3 linked regions of the Drosophila melanogaster genome follow. The protein of the gene in region 3 purifies or fractionates together with the protein of the main gene of each other region. This does not show direct contact. Each region holds a gene or a part of one and is shown on either strand. Other genes may lie near its edges. The genes, in order: CG34205, Nplp2 and CG4390.

Evidence for each region.
Region 1: the proteins of CG4390 (region 3) and CG34205 purify together in Drosophila melanogaster (affinity purification with mass spectrometry, with the first as the bait; one large-scale study listed by BioGRID). This does not show direct contact.
Region 2: the proteins of CG4390 (region 3) and Nplp2 purify together in Drosophila melanogaster (affinity purification with mass spectrometry, with the first as the bait; one large-scale study listed by BioGRID). This does not show direct contact.

The regions. Positions count from the first base shown.
Region 1 is NT_033778.4:22,129,596-22,133,022, forward strand, and holds CG34205 (uncharacterized protein), read right to left. Parts: upstream 1,705-3,427; 5' UTR 1,616-1,704; coding exon 1,538-1,615; intron 1,373-1,537; coding exon 1,049-1,372; intron 986-1,048; coding exon 734-985; 3' UTR 519-733; downstream 1-518. Other genes in the region: NtR, read left to right, coding at 1-96, 169-335, 396-518.
Region 2 is NT_037436.4:13,354,417-13,357,852, reverse strand, and holds Nplp2 (Neuropeptide-like precursor 2), read right to left. Parts: upstream 1,478-3,436; 5' UTR 1,255-1,477; coding exon 1,210-1,254; intron 1,127-1,209; coding exon 1,001-1,126; intron 846-1,000; coding exon 756-845; coding exon of another isoform or gene 657-755; 3' UTR 630-656; downstream 1-629. Other genes in the region: CG17687 (uncharacterized protein), read right to left, coding at 3,004-3,184.
Region 3 is NT_033777.3:20,055,809-20,061,361, forward strand, and holds CG4390 (uncharacterized protein), read right to left. Parts: upstream 3,943-5,553; 5' UTR 3,888-3,942; coding exon 3,759-3,887; intron 3,484-3,758; exon of another isoform or gene 3,245-3,483; coding exon of another isoform or gene 3,004-3,244; intron 2,937-3,003; coding exon of another isoform or gene 2,210-2,936; intron 2,152-2,209; coding exon of another isoform or gene 2,046-2,151; exon of another isoform or gene 1,940-2,045; intron 1,683-1,939; exon of another isoform or gene 1,634-1,682; intron 1,567-1,633; coding exon 703-1,566; 3' UTR 610-702; downstream 1-609. Other genes in the region: mdlc (midlife crisis), read left to right, coding at 2,046-2,151, 2,210-2,936, 3,004-3,244.

The sequences.
Region 1 (3,427 bases), on a different chromosome or scaffold from region 3:
GTAGGAGTTCCCTCATTCTCATCGCCTTGCTGATTGCCGCCTGGGGTTTAATGTACATGACGCGCTACGCCTCTCCGCATTATGTGCCGCCCATGAGTAAGTTTTAAATCAATTAACTAAAACTCACTGTGTATAATTTTCAAATTCAAATTTTCACTTTTCCTACAGTGACTGCATATAAAGTCATCATGATGACCACCACCTATTGCTACATTCTGCACATCTGCATTATATGGCTGGATCTATATCCACCCAGATCGAAGGCTCCTGGCTGGCTGGTTAGGGTGATTAACTCCAATGTTCTGCGATGCATTCTGGGATTGAGATTTTCGGATGTGAGTAGTTAAGCCCCTATTGAACACATATACGTATTGCAATTCACTATATTCCTACAGTCTACCGACTATTGCGACATTCAGGAGAATCCCTGGCACCATATGGCCAAGATCCTGAACAACCTGAGTTCAATCTTGGTCATTATAACCTTTGCCATCGTAGATATTACGAGTGGGTTTTGAAAAACAGAATTTTTCTTTATTGTGCATTTGAGAGAATATTAATGGTTCTTAAATAAATAAGAAGTAAACAGAGAAGATTGTGAAGATTTTGCGACTACAAGTTGAAAAAGTGGGAGAGCGTGCTGGGCTGTTGCGACTCCTCGCAGTTAATTGCTGCCATTGTTCCAACTCCGATCCGGGATCGATTTGGATTTGGAGTGTTTTGGTATCGGAGCTTAGTGGTAACCGTATCCACCCAGGGACAGGGCAGGTGCAGCGTATGACTTAACCAGGGCAGGAGCTGCGTAGCTGATGGCTGGAGCCGCATATGACTTGACCACCGTGGGAGCAGCGTAGCTGATGGCTGGAGCGGCATGGGCGTAACTGATGGCTGGAGCGGCATAGGACTTGATCACCGGAGCTGGAGCAGCATAGGCGATGGCAGGCGCAGCGTACGACTTAACAATGGGCGTGGCATGGGAAACAACCTGTGCATGCAAAGTAGATTGTAAGATTAAATGGGAAAATATCAGAGTATATCCAGATCTTACCGAGCTGAAGTGCGAGTAGCTGGTGGCTGGAGCTGCCACCTTGACCGCCACAGGAGCAGCATAGGACTTGACCACCGTGGGAGCGGCGTAGCTGATGGCAGGAGCGGCATGGGCGTAGCTGATGGCTGGAGCGGCATAGGACTTGATCACCGGAGCTGGAGCCGCATAGGTGATGGCTGGGGCAGCGTAGGACTTGATGACTGGAGCTGCAGCTGCATATGTTATGGCAGGAGCGGCATGGGCGTAGCTGTAGTCCGGAGCCGAGTGTCCATAATCAAGGAGTCCAGGAGCAGCAGTGGCCACAGCCAGCAGAGAGGTAAGGATCTGGCGAGGTAAATGGAAAACCAAACTTTGATGTTAATCTTTTTGATCTAGTGAATATAAGATCGAGGTAATCCTTGTATGAAGATATCCTTTGCAGTCAGTATTATTGGCTTAAAGTGATAATACTGATCCTAGGCCGCATCCTTTCCAACCCTTTCCACTCACCAGAAGTTTCATGCTAGCGCTGGATAACGAATCACTTGGCTTGGAGGGAGAATTGCAACTGTAAGTGGACGTGTGCATTGCGTTACTTTTATACCCCTCGACGGCAGACCACGCACTCGCACTCTCGAGCGGACTGCGAACTGCGGACCGGAGGACAGGTGGTCGAGCGGACAGATCTTGACTAGATTTCGATCTGAGCCTCGGACGGACAAACAGTCAGCAGACAGCAGTCAACAAAGCGGGCCAAGCAGCACCAATTTGTGAAGTATCTCGGCTGCAGTGAAACTGCAATTCTCGTAGACGCAGCTCGGATTGGAGAGCCCCCAAACGCGGATGACGCAACCTGAACTGGAGCTGGGAGTTGGGAGCTCCGAACCGAAGGCAGACCACTTGCCGGCTAAGGAGTCGCCGCAGGAAAGGCGGTCTTTACACTGGGGGTGCCATTGTGGCTCGCATTTGGAAAGCGCACGCTAATTGAAATCGCTGATTAGCTGGCCAATTTGGGCAACGCGCCAGGTGACACGCCCCTCGAAAGCACGCAGCCTTGCCACTAACAACTTAATTAGCCAACGTAGAATGCCGTCTAATTGTTTTCGTTGCTATGTTTGAGTATTCTCGAAACAATTCTCGGCGTGGCGCTGGGAAATTCTCTCCAAATTGCATAATGAACGCTTGCCAAATCGGCAAACGCCAAAACCAAACACCAAGCAGCAATCCCCTCTGGCCGAAATATCTAGGCGAGCTTCATATTTATCTTTATCGTGCCTCGAATGCCGCTGCGTGCCACATTTGACCATATTGGATGGGTGATTTCAGCCGCAGCCACGCCGTCTCGTCTCGAGGACACTCGTGCGTGGCGAGGGGGTTTGGATCGAGTGGAGGCCCCAGTTCGCCAGCTCCAGCTCCAGCTTCAACTCGCCATCGATCCATCGACTTTGCCGGCTGAAATTGCCGGTTCAGCATCTGGCAGTTCGTGGGATTTTTTATGGCCGACTTGATTAACCCCACGGGATGTGCGGGGGTACGGAGGTGTGACATTGGGTCATCACAAAATTAATAATGCTACAAATTGTTGAGAATGCTCGTCGTGATCCTTATCACGGATTAATAGTGTCTCAAGTAATCATTATATCACTTATTCGCTTTAAGTATAGATATGGTGTATATATTCATTTCTTAAATGATTTATATTTTTGTGGACTTTACATAACTTTTTGAGACAATAAGGTAGTCCGTGTTTAAATACTTGCTTTATATATTAGGGTTAAGAAACTAAAGTTTGGAAAGCACATAATGTCTCAGATTAGCGCATGCAACTTGCAGCACTTCAGTGGAGTTCCTCTCAAGAGGTCTCGAAAACACCACTTCAACGCCGAAATCTCGTAAAAAAAACTCGAAAAAAAACTTAGCACAATGAGAAAAGGACAGCACGAAACGCCGCAAAAGAGACAGAGAGTCACCTGCGATCGCAGTTCATGCATAAATCATGCATGCCAGTGGAATGTGATTTATGTGAATTCTATTAGCAAATATTAAGTCAATAGGAGCAATTGTTGCCAGTGGTCGGCGACTGCCAAACAAGTGTTCCATGTCCAATTCGATCCGGACAGATGCGGACAGATCGGTGTTGTGTGTTGTGGTCGGTGTGTCGCCGGTCCTCATAAATAAAAGATTTCCCAGCCACTGCCCCACATTTTGGCCAGGTGGAAAGCAATTTTCCAGCAATCGGTCGGTGGATCAGAAGGGTGGCAAACTCGAATGCCAAATTGCCACATACTAAATGACGATTTAAGGCGATCAGCCGATCGATCCTCGTCTTGGTTTTTATGGCTTCGATCGAGAGGCGAGTCTTTAGCCGCATTTGGATTTGGCGATCGGGCGGCGTGTGCT
Region 2 (3,436 bases), on a different chromosome or scaffold from region 3:
GAAATCCCTTGGAAGAAGCAAAAATCCACTTTGGTATTATGCAATCGTGCGCGGCGATGAAGTTAGATTGGGCGATCGGAGGGGATTCCCCGAGATGCGATGCCGTACAAATGCCAATACATTATTCATGGTTTCGAAAGCCCTCACATTTCGTCCTCCATTCCCCGAGTTGGCTGCGCCAAACAGGTGTGCAAAATAGCTGACAAATATTTCACGCGTGCTACCGTTTCAAAGCCAGTTGTTCTTACGAAACTCAAATCATGGCAATAATTTTTGATTTTCTGCAATTTTCTTCGAAGAAGAGCGAGATCAGCACTCTTCAGCATCTAAAATCTTTAATAACACAGTGAAAACGGTATAGAAAAGTTCCATAACTTAGCTTGTAGGAAGTGCAATTAACCATTTTCGGTGGCCGTACTAATAAAAATTGGCATAATTATAATAATTTTATCCTAACCAAGTCAAATTCATGCGTGGAAGCATATTTTCTCAGAATAAAAGAAATATAAATAAAAAAATCATCTTTCAATCTAAACATCTCAATTTTACCAATTTTAAGGTAATAAAATAGCTATTCTAGAAAGTGGAATGGAAAAATTTTTTAAAGTAATAGGCAAATATATGTTTTTGTGCTAAAAACAATTAACGTTTTAATTTCATTTTTTAGTTTTCATGTATGTAACAACTAAAGTTAAAGTTAAAACATTTATTGGAGTCGTTTTCAATGTAATGATATATGGCCATCCAACAACGTCTTAGGTGGATGCGGCTGGTGCCTGAAGAAATGTTTCGTTAAGTTTTTGCAGACCCTCCTGCACGGTATTTAATCCATCCTTGAAGAGACCCTACACAGAGAGAAAAGTTGTTAGTTAGAAATTCGTAAATACTTTATGGAAAATACGTATGTAGTGGATAGAATGAGTTTTAAGCGTCTCCACGAAAAATGACTATTAATTACTTAGAACTCGCTTTATTTTTGATATGATTGCTTTATAATTACCTCAACCTTCTTCGCGTCCAACGCCTTCAACTTTTCAATGAATTCGTTGAAATCACCCTGGGCCTTGGTAAGAAATTCTTGGGCAGGATTGGATTCCTCACGGGGGACGCGGGCGGACAGAGCCAACTGAAATCAAAGTGCCACATTGTAGTTTATCTCTGAAAATAGGTCCTGCATCTGTGTGCCAGGACTTTGAGCATTTTACTTACGGCGAACAGGGCGAACACGAGGATGCAAATTGCGAGCTTGGCCATTTTTGTGTTGGTTTTTTGTAACTGCTGCGGAACTCTGAACTAGAGAACGATGACTTGAGTACTGATTGAACCTCTGCCAAACTACTCATAACGACACCTCGTTTTGCGCCGCAGCCGGCCGAATTTGAGACCGGCTTATCGGCACTAGGAAGGCCGAGCGTTTAGAGCTACGGAGCTGACCCGTGATAAGCGTACTTTTTTCCGTAGCATGCTGGAATAGATTGCTTCGCATAACAGCTGAGCGTTTGCTTGGCTCAAGAATGTCTACATTTGTTTAGTCACAGAAGATAACCGCTTTATGCAACCGCCAAATAGTTAATCTCTGTAGGACTTAATGGTATTGCCCTATCCTCGAATCCAGTATTCTAGCACTTGGCCCGTAACAAAGATTTAAATATATAATTTAAGAATATTTTTAATTTGAATTTCAACAAGAAATAATTATGGAATTACCACTGTATAAATTTGGAATATACATATCCTACAATGTGTGCTTATCATTTCAATGGCTCGCATAGCTAAGCTGTTCTGAAGGCCTTTCGATCCAGCAATCGGAATTGTTTATCTACTTTTATTTGTTTTTTTCATTAAAGACCAAATATTTTAATATTTCTGTAAGCATTTTTTTTAGTTAAATATATATTTATATATAGTTAAAGTGAAGAGATAACGCTATAGTCGACTTTCTGTACGAGTAACAGGTATATAGTCAATTTTATTTTATACTATAATTTCCATTTTACCGGCTATCAATGCAAAGCACGTGGCACGTGATAAGGTTTTTTTTAAATGCTTTTGATAAGGCGCCCTACATTCGAAATTATGTAATTGCGCAAAATAAATATTTATAATACCGAGTATTAGAAAATTTGACGAAGCAACCCGGAAATTTCCAACGCGAAGCTAAGTTGGAGAAATGCAAATGCGATTGGACTTGGGCAAACCAAACAACGCTTTCAGAATATTTAGACAGAGCTACTCTTGTAGACTTTGGATATCAAAAACGTAAATTTAGCATGGTGAACTCATCTTAAAAGGCGAATAGAAATAACGAAACACTATTATCAACATAGATGCTGCGGTAAAAAAACTGAACTAACAAAAATAGTGTATTCTGTAGCTCACCTCCAGGGGTTAAAGTAATTTAAATGATGAATTCGCATATTTAGTAAAGAAATTACAGTTCTCTGGTTTTGAAAGCTGAATAGATAAGGGCTTACTGCTCGGAGTAAATCCGAAGATTACGTAATGGTTAAAAGAGGTAATAATAATTAGAATAATAGTCGTGTATTGCCGTATTTTTAGCGTAATCACGATATGATAGCCATATAAAGTGACAATCGGGGTTTTTTATTTGTATTATATTGCAACAGTTTGATCTCTCGGATCAACTCTCGTGTCTTCAAGGGCAATTCATTAAAACAATAAATGTGAAGTGCGATGCTGAAGGGTTTCCCCCAACTTAAGCCCCAAAAGTAGTTAGTCAAGAGTAGAGTTTGTTTCGGGAGCAACGAACTAAACAGCAAACAGAGCTCAAAGTGCACGACTTTATGCCTCGTTTTCGTAATTTTCCCCAGACACAAACAAACCCAATTAAGTGGCAGCACGAGTCAGAAGACCCAGACCAGATACCCAGAACCACTAATAAATTTTCATTTGGCGGAATGAAAATATTTAATTGCAATTTCGCCAAGTGGCTAAAACTTAGCCCCACGGTCTGGTCTGTTGGTTGGTCGGGTTGAAGTTCTCCTAGGGCACCGAACTGAGGATATGCTCCGGCACTGGCGGATGACATTGGGGCAGGGGTGGACCCAACGTGGGGTAGGTTCGCAGACGGAGCAGCTCCAGAATCGTCTGCAGTTCCAGCACATGGGCGTAGTTGCGGCGGACATTCTCCATGAGCTGCCGATGGGTCTTAATCTGCGACATTCTGCGGTGGAAAGAGAACATATGTTTTAAATATAAAACTGTTTGATTTTTGCATGAAATTCGGTAATTAGCCCGAAATATGAGCAGTGGTAAAAATACTTTTTACTGTAGCCAACAGATAGATAAGTTTCTTCTTATTTTCTGATAAGTATGACAGCAACTTTTAAATGCAACATTATATTGGCAACGTACTAGTTTTGATAGCTTTAAAAGTCAACTTTTGCGAATTTAGATGAACTTTTGCTAGCAGTTA
Region 3 (5,553 bases):
GCAAATCTCACGCCTTTTCAAATCCCTTTTTTTGGTACCCGATTTTCCGACCCGTTGGTATATAAAACACAAAAGCGCGCGAAGTTACACAAACAAAGGGGGGTCCAAAAAACAGGACTATCTCGCGCACACACGCAGTCACGCAAATACAGAGCTGGCGACTCCGATTGGTCCTAGTAAATATGGCGCCAAACGAGTCGAGAATGTCGCCTTTTGGTACCTCCGTTCGGTTCGGTTCCCTCTGTCACTAGCACATCTATTCCATCAGACGGCGTTTTTTCTACTGATGAATGAATCGTACGCAGGATGCCAGGATGCGGAAAGTTTCCAGCATGCCGTGGACCAACAACCGGAAAGCTTTTACTACGTTGCGAGCTTTTACCCTTACCACAAGTCCGGGAAAAAGTCCTTAGGAATTCGACGAATGCTGAATACCCATTACTTAAGTTTTTGTTTGTGAAAGGAAATTGCTGAACTTAAAACCGAAATAACAAAGTACACGCCATTTGTGTATAATCTTCTGTACATTGGCACCTAGAATGAATAAAAATATTTGTTTTTCAAAGTCCAAGTTCAAAGTTTAAAGTCAAGAATGTAAGAATACATTTTAGAAGCTCAGTCGAAATTGGTTTATTTACTGCCAAATTTACGTTGAATTATGGTTTCGGTGGAAACCAACGATTATGTACAAGCGGAATATCATCAAGCGGAAGCTGTGAGCAGGGCGGCATGGTAGGCGATGTGTTCGGCGACGAACGTGGCGATGTAGAAGTAGCTGTGATCGTATCCCTCGCGCTGCTTGAAGATGGTCTGGATGTGATCATTGCCATCTGCGGCAGCCAGCAGGTTCTCCGGCAGCAGCTGCTTGCCGGCCAGGAAGTTGTCTGCTGCACCTTGGTCGATGAAGAGCTCCTGCGGAGTGCTCTCGTACTGCGACACCAGATGCGTGGCATCCCACAGGGCCCAGTCATCCGGATTGGAGCCCAGATAGCCGGCAAAGGCCTTCTTGCCCCACGGGCACTCGGTGGGATTGGCAATCGGCGCAAAAGCGGACACCGACTGGTACAGCCCGGGATTCTTAAGCGCGCAGATCAGGGCTCCGTGGCCGCCCATACTGTGGCCGAATATACCGCGTTTACCGGGAACCACGGGCAGATTGGCATTGACCACATCCACCAGCTCCTGGGTCACATAGCTGTACATCTTGTAGTGCTTCGACCACGGCTCCTCCTTTGCATCCACATAGAATCCAGCCCCGCTTCCAAAGTCGTATGCATCATCTTGGCCGGCAATTTCCACGCCCCTGGGCGAAGTGTCCGGATTGACGACGATCAGGTTGTGGCGGGCGGCGTGCTGCTGGAATCCGCTCTTCTGGATGAAGTTCTCATGCGTGCAGGTCAGTCCGCTGAGGAAGAACAGCACCGGACACGGTTTACCCTCCAAAGCGGCCGGCGGCAGGAAGACGCCAAAGGTCATGTCGCACTTCAAGGTGTCCGAGCGATGGCGATACACGCGTTGCTCGCCCTCGAAGCACTTATTTGCGGACAGCTGTTCGAGCGTCATGTTCTGGGGGTGAAACGGAGTAAATAATTTGTAAGCTAAAACTGAAATCCATTAATTTTTAAAAACGCACTTGTTTTTTGACGATCTAAAAATAACAAGCGATAAGAAAACAGTGTGACCGCGTGTAGAGCGCCAAAAGTGGGAAGCTTTCAGAACATCTTGGTATCGATGATTAAAAGGGTAGATCCCATAGGAGTTAATATTTTCTAGAATTCTTTAAATTAATATAAATCTATTAATTATTACATATTGATGATGTATTAAATATGTAAAAATTGCAATTATTACAAACGAATATATTCCTCATAAGTAAACATTGAATTTTAATGTGCCCGTTTCATACAAAAATACTAACTCCATAACGATTGTTACGCAAGTACCATCACTAGCCGGGAAGAAGAAGCGCCAGTTGGCGAAATTGCTATTGTTAATTGTTGTTAACGTGAATTACTAGATAAGTACATAAATTTAAAAGCCGGAGAATGTCGGAAGAAGCGGCTAGCACCTCGTCCTTTGGCTTCAAGAAGCGGAACCTCAAGAAGGGAGCTGGAATTCGTCGCAAAAAGGAAACCAGCAGTGATGAATCTGGTAGGAACTTAATTTTACCGCCAACAAAGTAAATGGGCAAATATTATTGATATTCCAGCAAAAAGCAGCGATGAAGAGACCAAAGGCAAAGCCAGTGCTCTGGTGCGAGCCGAGAACCGCCGAAAGCGCACGAATCCCAACTTCCAGAGCACCAAGACAATGAGCAAAGCAAAGAGACAGGCGGGAGGAGTTGGTGATGATGGCTCATCCTCAGCCTCCGACGATGATAAACTGGGCATTGCGTACAAATCCAAACGCGAGGCGCTGCCCAGTGGACCCCAAGATCAGGGAGCTACATCGATTAACGAAATGGACACAGAATTGGATCGCGATGCGCAGGCAATTCATGCGCGAGCTCTGAAAATCAACGAAGAGCTGGAGGGCAAGGCGGACGATAAGATCTATCGCGGAATTAACAACTATGCGCAGTACTACAAGAAGCAGGATACAGCGGCAGGGAATGCCAGCTCCGGAATGGTACGAAGTGGCCCAATTAGGGCTCCTGCCCATCTTAGGGCCACTGTCAGGTGGGATTATCAGCCGGATATATGCAAGGATTACAAGGAAACAGGATATTGCGGCTTTGGCGACAGCTGTAAGTTTCTGCACGATCGCAGTGATTACAAAGCGGGCTGGCAATTGGAAATGGATCACGAAAATCAGCGAACGGGTGATGTAGACTCCGATGGCGATGATACCAAGTATGAGATTCACTCCGATGAAGAAACACTGCCTTTCAAGTGCCACATCTGCCGACAGAGTTTTGTCAATCCCGTGGTAACAAAGTATGAAGATGATAACGATTTCTAAACTGGATTTACTGAATAAATAACATATTTATCTTTCTTCCAGGTGCAAGCACTATTTCTGTGAAAAGTGCGCCTTGGCCCAGTACAAAAAGTCACAGCGCTGCATCATCTGTTCCCAGCAAACAAATGGTATTTTCAATCCCGCCAAAGAGCTGATAGCTCGCCTCAAGACAAACCCAATGGAAAACTCAGATAGTGATGAGGAGGAGGAATTTGGGAAAAAGGAGGATAAAGCGGAAGCAGGGGAGGAAGCTCAGGAGATTTCTTCGGATGATAGTGATTAAAATATTTTTTTAAATCATTTATACAGGTTGTGAAAGTAAATAGGGACATTGATTAGATGCTTCACATAAAATCCATTTTACAGCACATTTGCCGCATAAGTGTAGAAAGTAAAGTAAGGATTGTACCACCGATAGGTGGCGTGTAAGAAATTGTAAAACCCTTTGCCCCAAAGAGAATTGCTGATAAATCACTATTCTTACTTGTAACTAGAAAAATATATTTTGATAAGTTTTCAACCAAGAAATACTAGTTCTGTGGTATTTATTAAAATTTTTACTTATTTTTGGGCGATCTATTACGATTGGTTAACATACAAATTATGCACAGCAGTTCATCTGTAAGTTGTTTTAACACGTATATATGTATGTATTCATTATTATTTATAATTCATACTAAAATTTGATACATAGGGACGGGACTGGAAAGTTAATCGTGAAAAGCATTTTATAAAATTAATCACAACGAGGATTTTATATTAATGTTTAGTCCGCAGGACCTAAAAGCCTTACTCACCTCGGTCATAATGTGGCCAAAACTGAGCACAATGCTCCGTCGCTTGGGAAGATTTGAACAGGCGACTATGGAATATACGAATGAGCTTCTACCACTCACACTGGGCAGACGAAGGAAATTTCTTCCCATTCCCAAGGGAGCTGCAATAACTTTGTGATTTCGATCGAGTATTGCTTGACGTTTGAAACGATCAAAGGCCAACTTTGACCAAATTTAAACTTGGCAAGCAACTGAAACTACTGCCTTCTTGAAGCGGCAAAATTTTGGCCCAATCTTATAGCCATAATTTAATTGTCAGCACTTTCATTTCCCGTTTCGCTCGCATCAGAAAGCACAGGCACAGAAAGTAGGGGAATTGGAAGCTGGGAAACGTAGTAAAGCGGGCCAAACTTATACGGAAGTGAATTCGTTTGACTTTTGCCCGCTAAAATCAAAACCTCCTGCCAAACTTCTAGGCCGCATTGTTTCACAGCACAAAGCCGAAATATTGGCCAGTGGTAACGAATCGATGCTTAGCCACAAATTCCAAAATCCATCCGGCTTCTCTGCCCACCCTTTTTCCCTAGCTCCGAGCATGCAAAATATGAGCACATAAGCCTTTAAAAGCAGCCCAGCTGCCCAGGATGAGCAAAAAGGATAAAACTTCTATTTTCCAGGATCCTAGCTGCCACAATGTCGAGCCGATTTTATTGGAGGGGTTTATGCAGAAGGTTTGCCTGTTCCTCTGGTTACGCATAATACTTTTACCTCGTTTGTATACACCATTCACATTTCTTTAAGACAGCCACTATTCAGATGCTGGTAATTGCTGCAGTAGGGAAATTTGCCTCTGCTGTGGATTTTTCCAAGGATAACAATCATCAAGCTGGCTCACGGCTATTAGGTCACGTTCGCATTTTCTCACATTTTATGTGCCACTCACTTATTGGCAGTGCAATGGTTAATTGAATGACAAAGTCGTGCATGAAGAACGCAACCTAATTGAGGAGGAGGCAATAATTGTTTCGACCTGCAAATCAGTTTTAATTATTTCCATAAATGCGAAAGTGAGCGGCAGACGTGAGCTCTGAAATTTTATACTTTCTGTCAGCGGCTTTGATTGCCAAAGCGCAATAAGTAGGCAGGGGATTTGGGTTGCTTTTCCGGGCAGGATGGGTAGTTTTTCCGCCTAATTAGGATTTAGAAATTTGTGTGCGGTTGCTCACACGATTGCGTCTCGGCCCCAAAGTAATTAGGCGTTAAATGAGTTTGACGCCTCCAGAAATCGGGGAACATGGTTTCGTTCTCGAAACATCATCTTGATGTTGTTTACATTGAGCTTTGTGTGCTCACTAGCAATGATACTAAATTAAATATAAGCCTACTTAAGTTTTTGTACTTTAACATTGCAATTATCTCAGTTATACTTAAATTATATTGCCAGCTGAAAGTTAAGATACATAAGAAGGAATGCTAAAGGACTCTGACTACCATATATCCTCATTCCTGCTTAAAAGAGTCTGAGTAATAGACTGATTAGGGATTTATTTCAAATTATGATAAATATATTCACAATATTATCAAGTCGGAAATGCTACATTCGTCGAATTTCATAATGGGACTAGTACACCCTTTTGAGTAAGAGGTAGAATAGTTTTAAGTCATGCAGTTTAATTCTGACTATAGAAATCATCAATATCAGTTTCCTAGAACTATAGAAGTTATATATATATAGTGACTATAATACCCTAATTTTTGTTATGAAACAAGTTTAATATTCATCTTTTAAGACTTTTATGTAAAATTGTGTGTAATT